Linked DNA regions of Tamandua tetradactyla. The protein of the gene in region 1 binds, or shares a complex with, the protein of each later gene. Links are inferred from orthologs where the notes say so. Each region holds a gene or a part of one and is shown on either strand. Other genes may lie near its edges. The genes, in order: ALB and FCGRT.

Region 1 (7,909 bases):
TCTCTTGCTGCCAGGTTTAGAGTATCATTGATTTGGACATCTATGTGCAATTTGAATTAGCTGTCACACTATTACTTACAGTGGATAAGGTATAAGGTAAAAATAAAGATAGTCAATGGCTAAGAAATGTTACATTCCTTCTATTTCCATCTGAAGCTAAAGGCTAGGAGAATATAAAAATCAAAGAAAGATAACCTTCTAAGTAGCAAGTGAATTCACATTAGGGAGGAAAGAGATGTCTCTTATCTGATCTGCTCCTTTTGTGAGGCCCAACTGTTTAGTACATCCCATTTAAAACTGAGGAGTAACAAAATACTAGATGTTAAGATATTGCATTAAAATATCTTTTTTATTCTAAACATTTTCCTCAAAGCATATTCCATTAAATGAATTATTTCCTAATTAACTGTTATTATGAAAGTAGTTGTAATCTCTAGGAAAACATACTCCTCTAAATAGAATTCACTAATTTTTAAAAATGGGTTTTTTTTTAATTCATATTTAGAACCATTCCATTGTATGATGTTAAAAAATTGATTCTGCTTTGAAGGAGAAGGTATACAGATGGAAAGGAAGGGGAAAGGTTCCAGTGATACCCAAGAAATTGCCCTTGCCCAGAGAAACCTACTTAGAATAAGTGGTGAGAGAAACATTGTCTCCTTATATTGAAGAACTATTTGGGGATACCAAAATTTCAAAGTTTTTTAAATGACCAAGGATCCTGCTTTTCTTATGTACATCTTTGTAAAAATACAAAGATGTCTAAAATGAGTAATCTATAGCAATACTATTATTTCACCCAAGGGGAAAAAAAACATTAGCACAGAAATCAATTGAGTACTTTCTGAAGAAAAAGAAACACACATAGATTGCGCTTACTTTTAGTCTCTATAAAAAGAAACCAAATGTCAAATTTTGAAGAGATTTTTACAAAAAACAGTTTGCCGTGAAATACACTATAATGGCTGTGTGTGTGGTATCAATAAAGAAATGTTTTTAAAGCTGTGAGTATAGCTAGAGGGCCTCTATCATTGAAGACACAAAGACTTATCAGTCTATACCTAGCATTGGATCTTGCTTTAAAATGTCCTTAGTAACCTGGTTATTTAGTAGTGATTGAGAAAACTCAGGATTATTTTAAAGCAAAAAAAAATCTTCAAAATCCGAATGTACTTACAAGTGACTTCTCACAATCTTCAGCTGACTCATCAGCAACACATGTTTTTGCAAACTCAGTTACTTCATTCACTAATTTTACATGATCTTCAAATGAGGTCTTCTGGAGAAACTGAGAAAAGGTAGCCAATGTCCTAAAACAGAAGACACAGAAAATCGAAGCATAATGTAAATTCAGTATAAATATACTAGGGAGCAGACCATGTATCTGTACATGTACTATATTTTATACATCTTTCTCAGTATTATCCAGAAAGCCAGCTCACGTTGTGTTATCTGAGACCTAACTAGGCATATCTGATTTTCTAGGCGAAGAGGGTGTGTTTAAAAATATGTGTGCATGTCGGTAGGTACGCATGCATAGAGCAAGCAAGCAAACTGTATTCTAAACAGATTGAATCATCAAGACTAGTAGCTTTACACAGGCCCTTGGAATTACTTAATATAAACAAACAAAAAACAGAAACCACATATACATGCCTCATTTATTCTATAAATGACTATAGGACGAGATCAACCTTTAAAAAATAAGCTATTCTCTCATTTTTCACTAGATTAAAAAAAATAGTAAAATGCTCTTGAGAAATCTTATATGTAAAGGAGGTTTAATTAAAATGCCAAAGGAACCCTATATTAAAGTTCTTTCCACCAGGCAGGTTATATAAGAATTCCAGAGTCGGATTGTCTCATACAGTAATCCTTAGTCACATGTGACTATTTAAAATTTTAAATTAGTTTAAACTAAATAAAATTTAAATTTTGGGGCCATGGTGTCTCAGCAGGCAAGGACACTTGCCTGCCATGCCAGAGGACCCGGGTTCGATTTCCGGTGCCTGCTCATGTAAAAAAAAAAAAATTTAATTTTGCTTCTCAGTTGTACTTGTCATACTGAAAGTGCTTGATAGGCACATGTGGCCAGTGGCTACCATGTCCGACTGCACTGATATAGAATATTTCCACCAGTACAGAAAGTTCTGCTGGGCAGTACTGTTCTAGAGCGTGGACACTGATGGCAGGGGTACCCAGGGACTCCAGAGGAGTCACCAATGCTCTGAAAAACATGAAACTTGACTCTCCAATATTTTCACTTACACGCCTCTGAAATTTTCTTCTCCCAAATCCTTGAACCGATGAGCAATCTCACTCTTGTCTAGTGGGGGAGGGGGAAGGACAACACAAGATTTGTTTAAACACAGGAGAAAACAACTATTATCATGCCACTTTTTACATTTCACTACGTTCATTTTAGGCTATTCATTTGCTTCAAAATATTGGAGTCTGATTCCTAAAGATGATAGTGAAATAGTTCTCTGCATTCAAACTGAAGAATTATTCAATCATCAATGATAATATCTGAAAAAAATCATTAATTTTTTGTTGTTTCATACTCAAACTTGGATAAAGTCCAGTGTTCTTGTAGTGTATATTAACAACTACTGAGAGGACTGTCTGAAGTGAAAATAAATGTTAAACCAAGTTCTATTTATAAAATTAAAAACAGGTTTTGATATTTTATAAAGCATGGCACAGCGGATGGGGCCTTTGGGAATTTGGAATTATGAATTCTATCTCCAATTCTATTCTGTGAGGTTTAAACCACCCTGCCTAAGGTTTTGTCACATGAAAAAGAAAATTGCTTACTAAACAACTCTTACCACTTTTTTCACCTAAAATCTTAAAAAAGGAAACATATTAATAAGAAAACCTCCTAAGGGTTCACAAATATGAAATATCATCATATCCTAAAAGTAAATGCTAAAAGAAACCTTAAGTCTTTAAAGATACAGGGTTTCCTGAACTTTCTTTTACTGACAAGATAAAATTAAGGTTGAATAATTTTAAAAAAAGAGAATTCTTACGTGTATCTCGACGAAACAAACCCTTCGAATAAGCAGAGCTGAAGAGAAAGAGAAGGGAAATAAAGGTTACCCACTTCATTGTGCCAAAGGCTTGTGGGAGTTGATAGAAGAGAAAGGTAGGACGAAGGTAGGGAAATTAACACTAATATACTTCTTTAACCAATAATTGTAGATAATTAACTAGACTTACCTTTATTTCATTGGTTCCCAACTGATTACAAAATTCATACCATCCTTGCAAAAAAAAAAAATTGTTTAACTAAATCCCTTGCGTATGTTTGCCATCTGGAACTGTTTTTTCCACAAGGCTTTGCCAATTCATTAAAGTTATATAAAACATCTTATCAAAGTTTAGGTAAGAGTCTAAATGATTTGTATGTATTTGTATGTATTATTCATTACCAAATTCTTTATCTTTGATTCCCCATTTGAACATTTTCGTTTCCAATATTTGCAAAAATTTAAGTGATTTAGCTTGGAAATAACATATATCAAAAAAGCTAAGTTCTGAATTGCATCTGTTACTAGATCCAAGTATATTTTTATCCATAAGTAATGAAAACTTAAAAACACACACACTAGAGCTCTTCCATGTCTTTTTCATCTAAAATTGTTGTCTGAAAATGCTGATGTTGCCTGAGATGCAAAATGAGAAATAGCCATAGCAGCAATAACAACCAGAATAGATATTCAGAAGTTCCACGTTTCCATCCCAACTCTGGCCCATGTGTGATTCAGGTCTTGCCACAGGACACTCAAATAAATGATGGGTATCTGTTGTGGAATTTTCAGTTAAGACATAGGAAATAAAATGAACCCAAACGGCAGTAATGGTGATCTTTGCCATAATAATAAACACAGGAGCAGGTTGAGTCCTGATTCACCTCTAGAGATATGAGAATCCCAGAGCTTCTTCACCAAGCACCATATTCCTTTCATTCCTATTTTGCACTTTTTTCCTTTCTGCCTTTTAATAAATAGAAAAATTACATTATTCTTTGTTATTTTATATTTCAAAATAAATTTAACGTGGTGATTGAAAACAATTCAAAACAATGGTAATTTTTAAAACTGCTTTTTCAAACTTCTGTCTTCATGCTCCCAATCCAAAATTCTCATCTCTCCCTCTGAAAGGCTATTTTATCTTTGCCCTGCCGTTCTAAAGGTGGAGAAACACTGGTTTCAACCAATAGGAAAATTGCCTCTCTATAACACTATGGAATCGTAATTAATATCAAACCAGTTATTTCACTTAACAAAAAACAAATCAACCAAAATTGTCAGTCCAATTTTCCCATGAAACAAATAAGCTCATGTAATAATAAATACTCAAGGGAAGCATTATTTTTCCTACTCAGTCATGATTGAAAAATAATGCACTTTCTATGATTTTCTTTTCCTTTTTTTTTCATTTTCAGTTATGAGTACTAATTAAATAATCAAGTACAGAAAAGGAGATATATAAAAGATGATATGATAGATATATAGATAGATGGATAGATAGATAGATAGACAGACAGACAGACAGACAGGCATATAGGTAAATGGGTATTTTTTATTTGGCTCAAGGGAGTACTGACTAATATTGCCAGATTTCTCTTTCAGGCCACAGATGAAAAGGAATAAAAGAATTTGTTTAATACCAAAAACATATATTGGAAAGGAAGACCAAGAAAAGAATTCTTTCTCACATAAACAATGCCAACTCCCGAGAAAAGTGAGCCTCATTTATTTGCAGCCGGTGTCCGACTCTCGTCTTTTCCTTGTGTGAGCCCTACGGAAAGCCAATTAAGCATGCAGTCCTTATCCCTGAATTTAACTGTTGCCAATTCTGAGATTCAGGCTTCATCCCTCAGACATATACTATCAGCATATTTTTTTCTTTTAACAAATGAAAAATATATATTATTCTTTCCGTCTGTATGCACTGCATATTATATTGTAATACAAAGATAAATGCAGGAAAATTTCAAATTCATCGTGATTAAATAGGAAATTGAATTGCTTTTCTTATATTTAATCAAGAGCCTATAGATTTTAACTATGAAATTTAAAATATCCAAAAGAACTTCCTTACAGTACAGCATGCTATGTATTTTTTTAATAGTAGGTGGTTGAGAAATAAAACATTTAATTCTTAAAACCCTACCTGCATGCTTAAAATTCATCTTATAAGAAACACCTTAACACTTGCATTTTTATGGATTTCCAAAGTATTCCTACATTATTCTTGAAAACCTCTGATATTAATTCTTCACGTACATACTGCTCTGAGAGGAATGAAAACACGGTCTTTGGTTTCCCTAAATATTCTGTCATGAAAAGATTTTGGCATGAGAGGAAATGCAGATATTTAAACTAAGAGTTTATAGTTTAAAGAACCTGTCTGTCTATCTATCTTCATGACTTTTGGGTCAAGTTAGTTTAAAATGATCTTTTTCGTGGAGGGGAGTTAGATTTAATTATCTTTAAGAGCCCTTCTACTTTGAACATTATGTGATTCCATGTTTCCAATTGGACAGTCTTATTGAAGGAGATAGAGGAAAGGTCCCGACTAGTACGAAATAATATATTAAGTCAGGGAGAATTGTGATCCAAATTTGAGAGCTTATTCATTTCTGAGCCATATAATGGCTACACAGGCATTACTCAATATCTATTTCAGCTTAATGTAGTTAAGAAATGAAAATGCTATATAAATGTGTCTGAACTATGAAGTAAAATGACACTTTCTATATCTTTTTATCAAGTTTTTTGAGTCCAAGGAAAAAGTAGCAAATGCTGCAACCCATGCTGATTCACTCTTCATCTACATTAACAACAAATAGTGCCTATAAATATAAATTGGCATTAATATTTATCTCTTTTCTCAGTGAAAGTTACAGATGGAAATTAAACTGAAGTGAATCCACTACTGGGAGTTTAGTGCTGATTAGTCTATTCATAGTCTTTAAACTTACCAAATGTAATTCAAGAGACACTACCTAAAAAATAAGGTTAAATTTAAATTACAAGATTAACTTTTTTAACCTCCTATAAAACAACAAAGGTTGAATAGCTAAAATATTCCTGTGTTGAAATCCAGTGGATCAAGTTTAAAATTTTTGCCCTTGATGCTTGCTAAAACTTTAATTTGTTAAATGTTTTGTATCCTCCGAGTGCCAATCTTGAGCTAAAACTTCACAAAACTCTCTCCTTAGCTGCACCTTGGAACTTAAGACTTAGAATTCTCAATTTTTTCAAGCCACTAATATGGGTTTACATAAAAAATGCATTATTTTTTCCAAAAAAGTGTTACTTTTAAGAAAAATTTCAAATAAATCATCGGCCTATATTTTTTTGAGAGAAAGAAAATCATCTCTAGCCTAATTATTATAAACTATATAATGGAAATGTTTTCAAAATTATCTTTACAATATGATTGGATATATAAGCATTTGAATTGTTAAAAATTAGTTTTTAATTGAATAGACATTGAAAAGAATAAAGTTATTTCATCAGAATAGTATTTGTGGGTTTAAGATTCTCTCAGCGAAACTAGTTCATTTAACAATAAAGTGTGGTAACAAAAACAAATACATTTAAATAGAATAAAGAACTAATTTCAGGGAAACATATAATGTTGCCAATGACATTCTCTTTCCAGAAAGTGTCCTGATCCACAATTGAAGCCTTTCTATAATATTTAGCAACAAAAATTTAAATTACTAAATAAAATACATATGATTATATTACAATCCAATTTGCAAATTAACATTTATCCAAGATATATATTGATCCATTAAAACCATACAAATTAGCCTCTCAGCATTTAATGTCTTACAAATGGCTATATTGATGAGTTCAAACTTCTCTCAGCAGTTACACTAAAAATTGGCCAAAAAAATGCACATCAGGAAATGATAGTATCTAAAAGCAAACATTGCCCTGACATCAACAAACACCACTATTTATTTAAGAACATCATTCTAGCTGACAAGGAACAATCCAGAAAGTAATGTCCCATACTTTTTTTAAAAAGTAATACCACTTGGTGTTTCATTCATGCTCAGAATGTATTGAATGCCTGCTGTGGAGTAAGCTTTTTCTAGGCTCTGAAGATACGAAAAATTAATAAGACACAATCCATAGTTTAACAGGGGACAAAGGTACGTGGAAAGATCATTATAATGCAATGTTGTATGTAGGTGTACATATGGAATACAGGGTACTCCTCTAATAATAGAGAAGTAGTGGAGGAGAAATTCTAAATCCAAAAGCAATCTCATGCATAGATAAGAGGCATGGGCTTTCACCTCTTTAGCTACCTATGTAATTTAACATACTGTGAAGCTTCAAATTTACATTCTTTGGGTACATTTTTGGTTGTGAAGAAAGCATCCTGGAGAAACGGAATGAGTAGGCAAAGATTGATGAAATAAGTATGGTAGAGAATGTGCAACCTCTCAATGTTTGCTAAAAGACCAAAATACAGAAAGAAAATAAAAAACAGTTTTGCCCCCTCCAGAAGACCTCAGAACCTCGTGCAAGAATGTCAGGAAAGAAACGAAAAGCAGAAGTGCAATTATTTGGGTTTACAAGCAAAGCTAAGGATGGAAAAGTGGAATTTGACTATGATAAGCCCCAAAGAAAATTATTGATCTTATAGAAAGCCTCAAAACTTCCATGTAGAGCAAGTTTATCTAAAATTGACAAAATATTCAGTAGATTATTTGAATATTTAGTGATGAAACACTGTTCCTGATTCAAGTGGTATTCATTTAGCAATAGCATGTGCCTTGGAATCTAAGAGGACTTTCCGGGGGACAAGACATTTTTATAAATGAGCATGAGCAATGAGGGAAGAAATTATGCTTCCCAGCAGAGGGAGCAGC
Region 2 (7,855 bases), on another chromosome or scaffold:
CCAGCACCTATAACGTTGTCTGACACAGGGAGGTCATGCCACCAACATTTGTTGGGAAGGAAACAGCTGACTCGACCTCCAGAGCTGGGGGTGGGCTTCTCAGAGGTGGCAGCGTGCAGCTGGGCACTGCGGAGGGCGCAGAAGGGGACATGTGGAGAAAAGCGGGAAGGGCCTTCCAGGCAGAAGGAACGGCCTGAGCAAAGGCTCAGAAGAAGGACATGGCTCCAAAGGGGAATGGCTCAGTCTGGAGTGTGGCTGGCATGTAGACGGTGACGGGCAGGTGGAGAGGGTCATGGAGGCTGGGAGCTGCAATCTTGTGCAGGGGTGCTGGGGGGCCCCAGGAGGGCTGTGAGCAGAGGAGGGGCCGCGTGTGGGGGAATGGGCAGCCATGGGCAGGCTGGAGGCCAGGGGTGCGGCTAGGGAGAGGATGAGGCCTGAAGTGGGGGCCGTGGGGATAGGGAGAAGGAAACAAAGGCAGCAAGATTCAGGACATCCTCACCCTTCCACTCCAGGTTTCCACGGCCCCTCTCCAGATGGCCCATGAGCCGCTGGGGACAGGAGTTGAGCAGGAAGGTTCTCTCCTTCCTGACTGCATCAGCCTGCTGATTCCACCTGTTGCTGATGGTGAGGGCCTCTGGCCATTCCCCAGACCAGGTGCCCAATTTGAGGTCGAAACTCATGAATTCCTCGCCGTTCAGGGCAAACTTGGCCGTGGGCACTGAGGTGTTGCCAGGGCCCAACTCACAGCCCAGCAGGCCCTGCAGGGTGTAGGGACCTGGGGTGCCCAAACACAGCTGAGAAGGGCCCAAAGGTCCCGGCCCCAGCCCCTCCCCCTCACACCTGGGGGTCCCGGCCCCAGCCCCTCCCCCTCACACCTGGGGGTCCAGGCCCCCAGCCCCTCCTCCCCCAGACCCCGGGGTCCCAGCCCCCAGCCACCACCCCCTCAGATGGAGGAGTCTGAGCTTCACCTCCGGTCCCCAAGGTTTGCAGGGCATCGAGAAAAAGCTTCTCCTTGTCCCTCATGTCTGTGGTCTCTGCCTCCCAATACCAGGCCACCTGGCTTTCCCAGACCCAAGCCCCGCACGGCTCCGCTTGGGCCCGCAGGCTGCTGTAGCTCAGGTACTGCTGTGGACCCAGCCAGCCTGACACCCAAAAGGCAGGGGTCCCTGGGGCAGGGGCGGTCACGGCGGTGAGGTGGTACAGGAGGGAGAGATGGCTGTCTGCGGAGAGATGGGGGGAAGAGAGAAGGGGGCACCCGTGGGGGTGAGTGGGGGGTCTAGAATGGGAGTCAGAAAACCAGACACGGAGAGAGAGAGAGATGCAGAACGGGGGCACAAAGACTCAAAGCAGGGGAGAGAAAAATCAGAGGGGGGGGTAGGGTTGCCATATTGATCAAATAAAAAGACAGGTCGTCTAGCGAAATTTGAATTCACATAAACAATAACTAATTGTTCAATATAAGTGTGGGGCATGGAATGTCAACTTAAAGTGGGTGTCTATTTTTTTCTGTACCCAGGGAAAGTTGGGAACAGAGGCTCAGTCAGAGAGAGGGGGACGGAGACCCAGGGAGAGGGGGACGCAGACCCAGAGAGAGGGGGACAGAGGCCCAGAGAGAGGGGGATGCAGACCCAGAGAGAGGGGGACGCAGACCCAGAGAGAGGGACACACCCATGGAGGAGGGGAACAAAGAGAAGGGGTGGGACGGAGGGGGGAGCGGCGGGCAGAGACCCAGAGAAGGGGCTACGTGGACCCCGAGAGAGGGGGACCGGTGCTTCCCGGTCCCACCGCCCACGGGCGGGGACGGCGGCGAGCAGAGCGCCGCGCGGGGAGGAAGTGCGCGCTGGCTGCGGACTCGCCTCCTTGGCCTCTCGGCCTCGGGCGCCCCCTCCCCGCCGCCCGCACCCGGCGGCCCAGACCCGAGCGGCCCTCACCTGCGCCCAGCGTCCCGGGCAGGAGGAGGAGCAGGAGCCCGAGATCCCAGGGCTGAGGCCGGGGAACCCCCATCCTGGAGGGCGACCTGGGGCGGGAGGAGGCGGTGACTGCTCCGACCCCCGCCCCGTCCCCCCGCGCCCGCGGGTCCTCGGCCCAGCCCGGAGCTGCCCGCAGGTTCGGGATTCGGGTCTGCGCCGGGAGGCTGACAGGTCCCTAATTAAAGCAAGTTCTCTCCCGCCGTGAACTTTCACCCGGTAATTTGATCCGCGTTGGTTAATTAATGACAGACTCTGGATTGGCTGAGATTCCCCTCTAGGAACTCGGCCCCGCCTGCGGCTCCTCCCTCAGACCCGGGAGTCCGGGCCCCCAGCCCCTCCTCCCCGGGACCCAGTGGAGCCCCAGTGCTCCCCCCATACGCACAACCCCTCCCGGGCCCAGTGAAGGGGCCCCAGCTACTCCTCCCCGGACCCAGCTGTGGGGTCCCAAGCCCTCTTTCCCCGGACCCAGCAGTGGGGCCCAGCTACTCCTCCCCGGACCCAGCAGTGGGGCCCCAGCTACTCCTCCCCGGACCCAGCAGTGGGCCCCAGCTACTCCTCCCCGGACCCAGCAGTGGGCCCCAGCTACTCCTCCCCGGACCCAGCAGTGGGCCCCAGCTACTCCTCCCCACCCAGCAGTGGAACCTAGCTACTCCTCCCCGGACCCAGCAGTGGGCCCCAGCTACTGCTCCCCGGACCCAGCAGTGGGCCCCCGCTACTGCTCCCCGGACCCAGCAGTGGGGCCCCAGCTACTCCTCCCCGGACCCAGCAGTGGGCCCCAGCTACTCCTCCCCGGACCCAGCAGTGGGCCCCAGCTACTCCTCCCCGGACCCAGCAGTGGGGCCCCAGCTACTCCTCCCCGGACCCAGCAGTGGGGCCCCAGCTACTCCTCCCCGGACCCAGCAGTGGGGCCCCAGCTACTCCTCCCCGGACCCAGCAGTGGGCCCCAGCTACTCCTCCCCACCCAGCAGTGGAACCTAGCTACTCCTCCCCGGACCCAGCAGTGGGCCCCAGCTACTGCTCCCCGGACCCAGCAGTGGGGCCCCAGCTACTGCTCCCCAGATCCAGCAGTGGGGGACCGAGCCCCTCCTCCCCGGGACCCAGCAGTGGGGGACCCAGTCTGCTCACAGCCGCCACATTCCCTTCCTGCCTGCCATCCTGGCCGCTCCCGTGACTGGAGACCCCAGTTCCTCTCTTACATCCTGTCCGGAGCCTGCTCCCCACTCCAAGAACCTCCGACCCCGCCCCCCAGCTGCGAGGCACACAACCAGGCCCGGCCCAGCCTCCCAGTGTTTGTCTCTGCCTGTCTGGAAACTCGTTGTTTGTGGTCTTTCTTTCTGTTGCTGTCTCTTTGAAGGTGTCCCCCAGCGAATTCGTGACAACCCTCAGACGAGGACTCAGCCTTACCAGAAGTCCAAAATGCGGAGGTCTCCACAGGCCCCCTTCTGACCTCTCTGTGCCCACCCTCCCCTCCAAACCCTCCGCCAGCTCCCTCTGCAATAAAATCTTTCCAGATGCCTCAATATTTCCTCCTTGGGGCCCTTCCCCCAAGTGCTCCCTAAAAGCGCTCCTACAGCTCTCCTTGACGTCCTTCTATAGGCCTTGACACCCCATGTTGCCAATATCCCTGGCCACGCCCTAGGGATGCCATCGGCCCCCACCCCCAGCCCCTGCTCTTATGCTTCCATTCACTTCTTCAAAAAACGGTGGTAACAGAAAAGTTGTCATTTTAGCCATTTGTCAGCTCTGTATTACTTTTAGAACGTTGTGCTACTAACACCACTATTTTTGACCAAACCAGAAACTCTGTCCCCCGTGACTCCCAGGGGTGTGGACCTTCCTGGCAACGTAGGACAGAATTCCTAGAATGAGCTGAGACTCAGCACCAAGGGATTGAGAAAACCTTCTCGACCAAAAGGGGGAAGAATGAAATGAGACTAAGTGTCAGTGGCTGAGAGATTCCAAACAGAGTTGAGAGGTTATCCTGGAGGTTATTCTTATGCATTAAAGTAGATATCACCTTGTTATTCAAGATGTAATGGAGAGGCTGGAGGGAAGTGCCTGAAAATGTAGAGCTGTGTTCCAGTAGCCATGTTTCTTGAAGATGATTGTATAATGATATAGCTTTCACAATGTGACTGTGTGATTGTGAAAACCTTGTGTCTGATGCTCCTTTTATCTACCTTGTCAACAGACGAGTAGAACATATGGAATAAAAATAAATAATAGGGGAACAAATGTTAAAATAAATTTAGTTAGAAATGCTAATGATCAATGAAAGGAAGGGGTAAGGGGTATGGTATGTATGAATTTTTTTTCTGTTTTCGTTTTATTTCTTTTTCTGAATAGATGCAAATGTTCTAAGAAATGATCATGATGATGAATATGCAGCTATGTGATGATACTGTGAATTACTGAACATATATGTAGAAAGGAATAATCAAAATGGGAATGTTTGTGTTTGGTGTTTTTTGGTATTTAAAAAATAATAATAAAAAAGAAAAAAGAAACTCTGTCCCCTAGAAGCAGTAATGGCCCCTTCTCTCCCTCCACCCCCTCCCCTGGGAGCCTCTTTATTACTTTTCTGTCCTATGAATTTACTTGTTCTAGAACTTTCATACAAGTGAAATCATTCAGCGTTTGTCTCCTTGCGACTGACTTACGTCACTCAATGTGCTGTCCTCCGGGGTGGCTGCAGGTATCGGCAGCTCGTTCTTTTTCACAGCTGAATGAATACTCCAGCGTCGGGACAGACTATGTAATATTGAGCCTTCCTGCGCTGATGGCATCCAGGTTGTTTCCACCTTTTGACTATTGTGAATAGGATGCTGTGAGCATCCAGTGGGTGCTTTTCGCTGAATGCCTGTTTTCAGTTCTTTGGGAGAGGGGTGCTGGGTCATCCCTCTCTGCCTTCAACTTACTGGGGCACTTCCTTTCGTCTCTGTTACTCTCTGGGGCCTCCTAGAAGATCGGCTGAGGCCCACCCCTCTGCAGCATCCTTCCTTCAAGTCCACGCATCTTAAGACAGCATCCTTAGCTCTTCCCTGAAGAACGCTGGGGGGCTGCCATGCCCCTGGCTAACCCAGCCAGGAACCCCAGGACCCAGATGCACTTCTCCTGGAAGCTTGGACAATACTCCGGGGTCCTGCTCGAGATGCCCACTCTGGGCTCCCTGGCCCCGGGGACCAGCAGTGATATTTACCGGGACTCCCTGTAAGACGCCTTGGCCCCCCTGCTGCTCACAGGGCCAGCCCTTAACCCTCAGTTGCCCCTTGTACAGATCTGAGGTACTGCCAAGATGTACCCAGATGTCCCGCTTTCAGACGACCCTGGACTCTTCTCAACGCCCCCTTGGGCCCTGGCGTAATGTCCCTATAGATGGTCTTACTACATAATGCCTTTTGGCTGTCAGAAGCATCTCCACATTCCCTTAGATGACCAGCACCGGCTCCTCCGTCGCTTCCCTATAGTAACCGCGGCTAGCGTGGACTCACGGGCCCCCCGTCCTGCCAGCCACCTGCCAGGGGCCCTAGGGTGCCTCAGGGCCTGTCCCCACGAATCTCAGGCGCCCACCCCAGGCTCCTTGAGTTCCAGGACGGCACCCCGAGACCCAGTGATACAGCCTTCGGGTCCCTCTCCCTGCCTCCCAGCTTCATTTAATCCCTTCAGTTTCTGCTGTGAAACGGAAGGAGCAAAAGGCTCCCCCAAACCGCTCCTGCCTTCCCAGGCCCTGCCTATCCAGAGCCCTGCCGGGAGAGACAGAATGGCACAGACAGACTGGGAGACAGATCGGAAGACAGGTGGGTAGGTAGATGATAGAAATATAGGAAGAAAAACACATGGAAAAATACAGATACAAAACAGACAGAAAGATAGTTGGACAGACAAACTGCTTTGGAAAAATAGAGATAACAAAACAGACTGATGGAAAAAGATAGATAGACAGACAGACAGAAACAATTAGACAGGCTCTCCAAGACCTGTCAAAATGTCCTTGGGCCCAGCAAGAAGTCCCGCCCTCCCCTAGGACCCTGCTGTCACCCCTGGCCTGCACCCTCACCCGGCTGCCTGGGCTGCTCCCTCCTCCCCTCCACAAGGGACCTAAGGGCCCATGAGAAGCGCCCCGAGGTCCTGCTGTCTCTGATGTCCCCTTTCAGAGCCCCAGGTCTTGCCCTCATAGCCCGTGGGACCCTGTAGCGGGGACCCCTGTACACCTGCAAACTCTCCGGACCCTGCCGGGACCCAGAGGCGGCCCTGAGCAAGCAGGGGCTCCCCTACCCCTCACCCCTCTTCCAGACACCTCCTCCTGCTGCCCTCTTATTACATGGGGCCCCCTGGGTAATCCAGAACAATCTCTCCTTCCCCAAATCCTTACTCTTCTCAAGCCTTTGAAGACCCTTTTGCCATGCCAGGGCAGTCACAGGTTATGAGAATCAGGGCATGGGCACCTTTTGGGGGAGCCATTACGCTGCCCCCACAATCAATCATCTAGGCAGCCCTGCCCTTGCATCGCGCGGACGCCCCCTCCTCAGCGCCCCTCCTTCCTGCTCTGTGGCCTTGAGGTTTATCCAGGGGTGCTCAGGGGTCTCCCTACCGTCCCCCCTTCCTGCTCCAAAAGAGAAAGGCCGCACAGTCCCTTCTGATGCCCACTGGGGGTCCCCTCCGTGCCTGGGGTCCTGCCCGTGCGCAGGGGCCCGTTTCGGTGCCGCTGTCGCCCCCGCGGTCCTGCAGGGCGTCCCCAGGGTCCTATCGCGGCACCCCGGGGCTTTCACTTCCGCCCCGCAGGCCCCTCTCTAGGTCCGCGGGGACCCTCCGTAACGCAACACAGAGCTCGGGGCAGCATCGGCCCCGCAGCCCGGAAACGCGGGCTCTTCCGTACGATCCGCCGGCACAGCGCGGGACCCAGCCGGCCCCCGGAGCCACCGCCCTGGTCTCCCCCAGGCCGCTGAGCCCGCTCGGCCTCGCCCCTCGCCTGCCCTGCGGCGCCCCCTGCTGGCCGCGAGACCCGCCGGCCAAGTTCAAGACCAAGTCTGCAGCCTTCCGCTAAAGAGACGTGCTCAGTCCCTCATTTGGAAACGGGAATCTTTGAAGATGTGATTAGGATGAGGCCACCGTAGATTAGGGTGGGCCCTGATTGGGTAAGATCTGGGTGCTTTTTTTTTTTTTTTAGTTTCCAAGCTGCCCAAATGCACTATACCAGAACTGGAAAAGATTTTTTTTTATTTTTTAACTTTTTTAAATTGTGAAATATAACATATATATATATATATAAGAAAGCAATAAATATCCAAGTACATTTTAACAAGTAGTTATAGAATAGATTTTAAAGTTTGGTATGGGTTACAGTTCCATGATTTTTCATTTTTTTTTCTTCTAGCTGTTCCAAGACACTGGAGACAAAAGGAAATATCAATATAACGATTCAGCAGTTATACTCATTTGTTAAATCCTAGCTTCTCTATTATACCCCTCCTTTTTTTGTGTGTGAAAAATAACCTATTTTTAAGAGCAATAAATTTCAAACTACATCATAATAGTGAGTTGTAGAATAGATTTAAGAGTTTGGTATGGGCTACAATTCTACAATTTTAAGTTTTTACTTCCTGCTGCTCTGCAGTAGTGGAGACTAAAAGAAATACAATATAATGATTCAGCACTCACACTTGTTTGTTAAACCCTACCTTCTCTGTTTAACTCCACCATCACCTTTGATCTTTCTCCCACTATTTAGGGGTATTTGGTATGCCCATTCTAACTTTTCCATGTTGGAAGGGGCTGTTGATAATATGGGGTAGGGGGATGGAACTAGCTGATGTTCTGGAGAGGCTGGGCCCTCTAGGTTTCAGGACTTATCTGGTCCAGGGATCCATCTGGAGGTTGCAGGTTTC

The links.
Region 2: the proteins of ALB (region 1) and FCGRT are in contact, whole or in part, in a crystal structure (PDB 6QIO), measured with the Homo sapiens proteins. The link is inferred for Tamandua tetradactyla from reciprocal best matches to the Homo sapiens genes ALB and FCGRT. Residues at the interface, in NP_000468.1 of Homo sapiens: Arg105, Glu106, Thr107, Tyr108, Gly109, Glu110, Asp113, Asn133, Asn135, Gln441, Ser443, Pro445, Thr446, Glu449, Leu484, Leu487, His488, Thr491, Pro492, Val493, Tyr521, Val522, Pro523, Lys524, Thr530, Phe531, Thr532, Phe533, His534, Asp536; in NP_001129491.1 of Homo sapiens: Arg65, Glu67, Glu69, Gly72, Ala73, Val75, Trp76, Gln79, Val80, Ser81, Trp82, Trp84, Glu85, Lys86, Thr89, Arg92, Asn172, Lys173, Leu175, Thr176, Leu179, Phe180, His184, Glu188, Arg192, Gly195, Asn196, Trp199, Lys200, Glu201.

The regions. Positions count from the first base shown.
Region 1 is NC_135350.1:56,005,500-56,013,408, forward strand, and holds the start of ALB (albumin), read right to left. Parts: upstream 3,183-7,909; 5' UTR 3,115-3,182; coding exon 3,036-3,114; intron 2,327-3,035; coding exon 2,269-2,326; intron 1,311-2,268; coding exon 1,178-1,310; intron 1-1,177. UniProt on the Homo sapiens protein: Binds water, Ca(2+), Na(+), K(+), fatty acids, hormones, bilirubin and drugs. Its main function is the regulation of the colloidal osmotic pressure of blood. Major zinc transporter in plasma, typically binds about 80% of all plasma zinc.
Region 2 is NC_135342.1:11,599,594-11,607,448, forward strand, and holds the start of FCGRT (IgG receptor FcRn large subunit p51), read right to left. Parts: upstream 3,219-7,855; 5' UTR 3,169-3,218; coding exon of another isoform or gene 3,167-3,168; 5' UTR 3,125-3,166; coding exon 3,096-3,124; intron 2,018-3,095; coding exon 1,932-2,017; intron 1,221-1,931; coding exon 969-1,220; intron 776-968; coding exon 500-775; intron 1-499. UniProt on the Homo sapiens protein: Cell surface receptor that transfers passive humoral immunity from the mother to the newborn. Binds to the Fc region of monomeric immunoglobulin gamma and mediates its selective uptake from milk.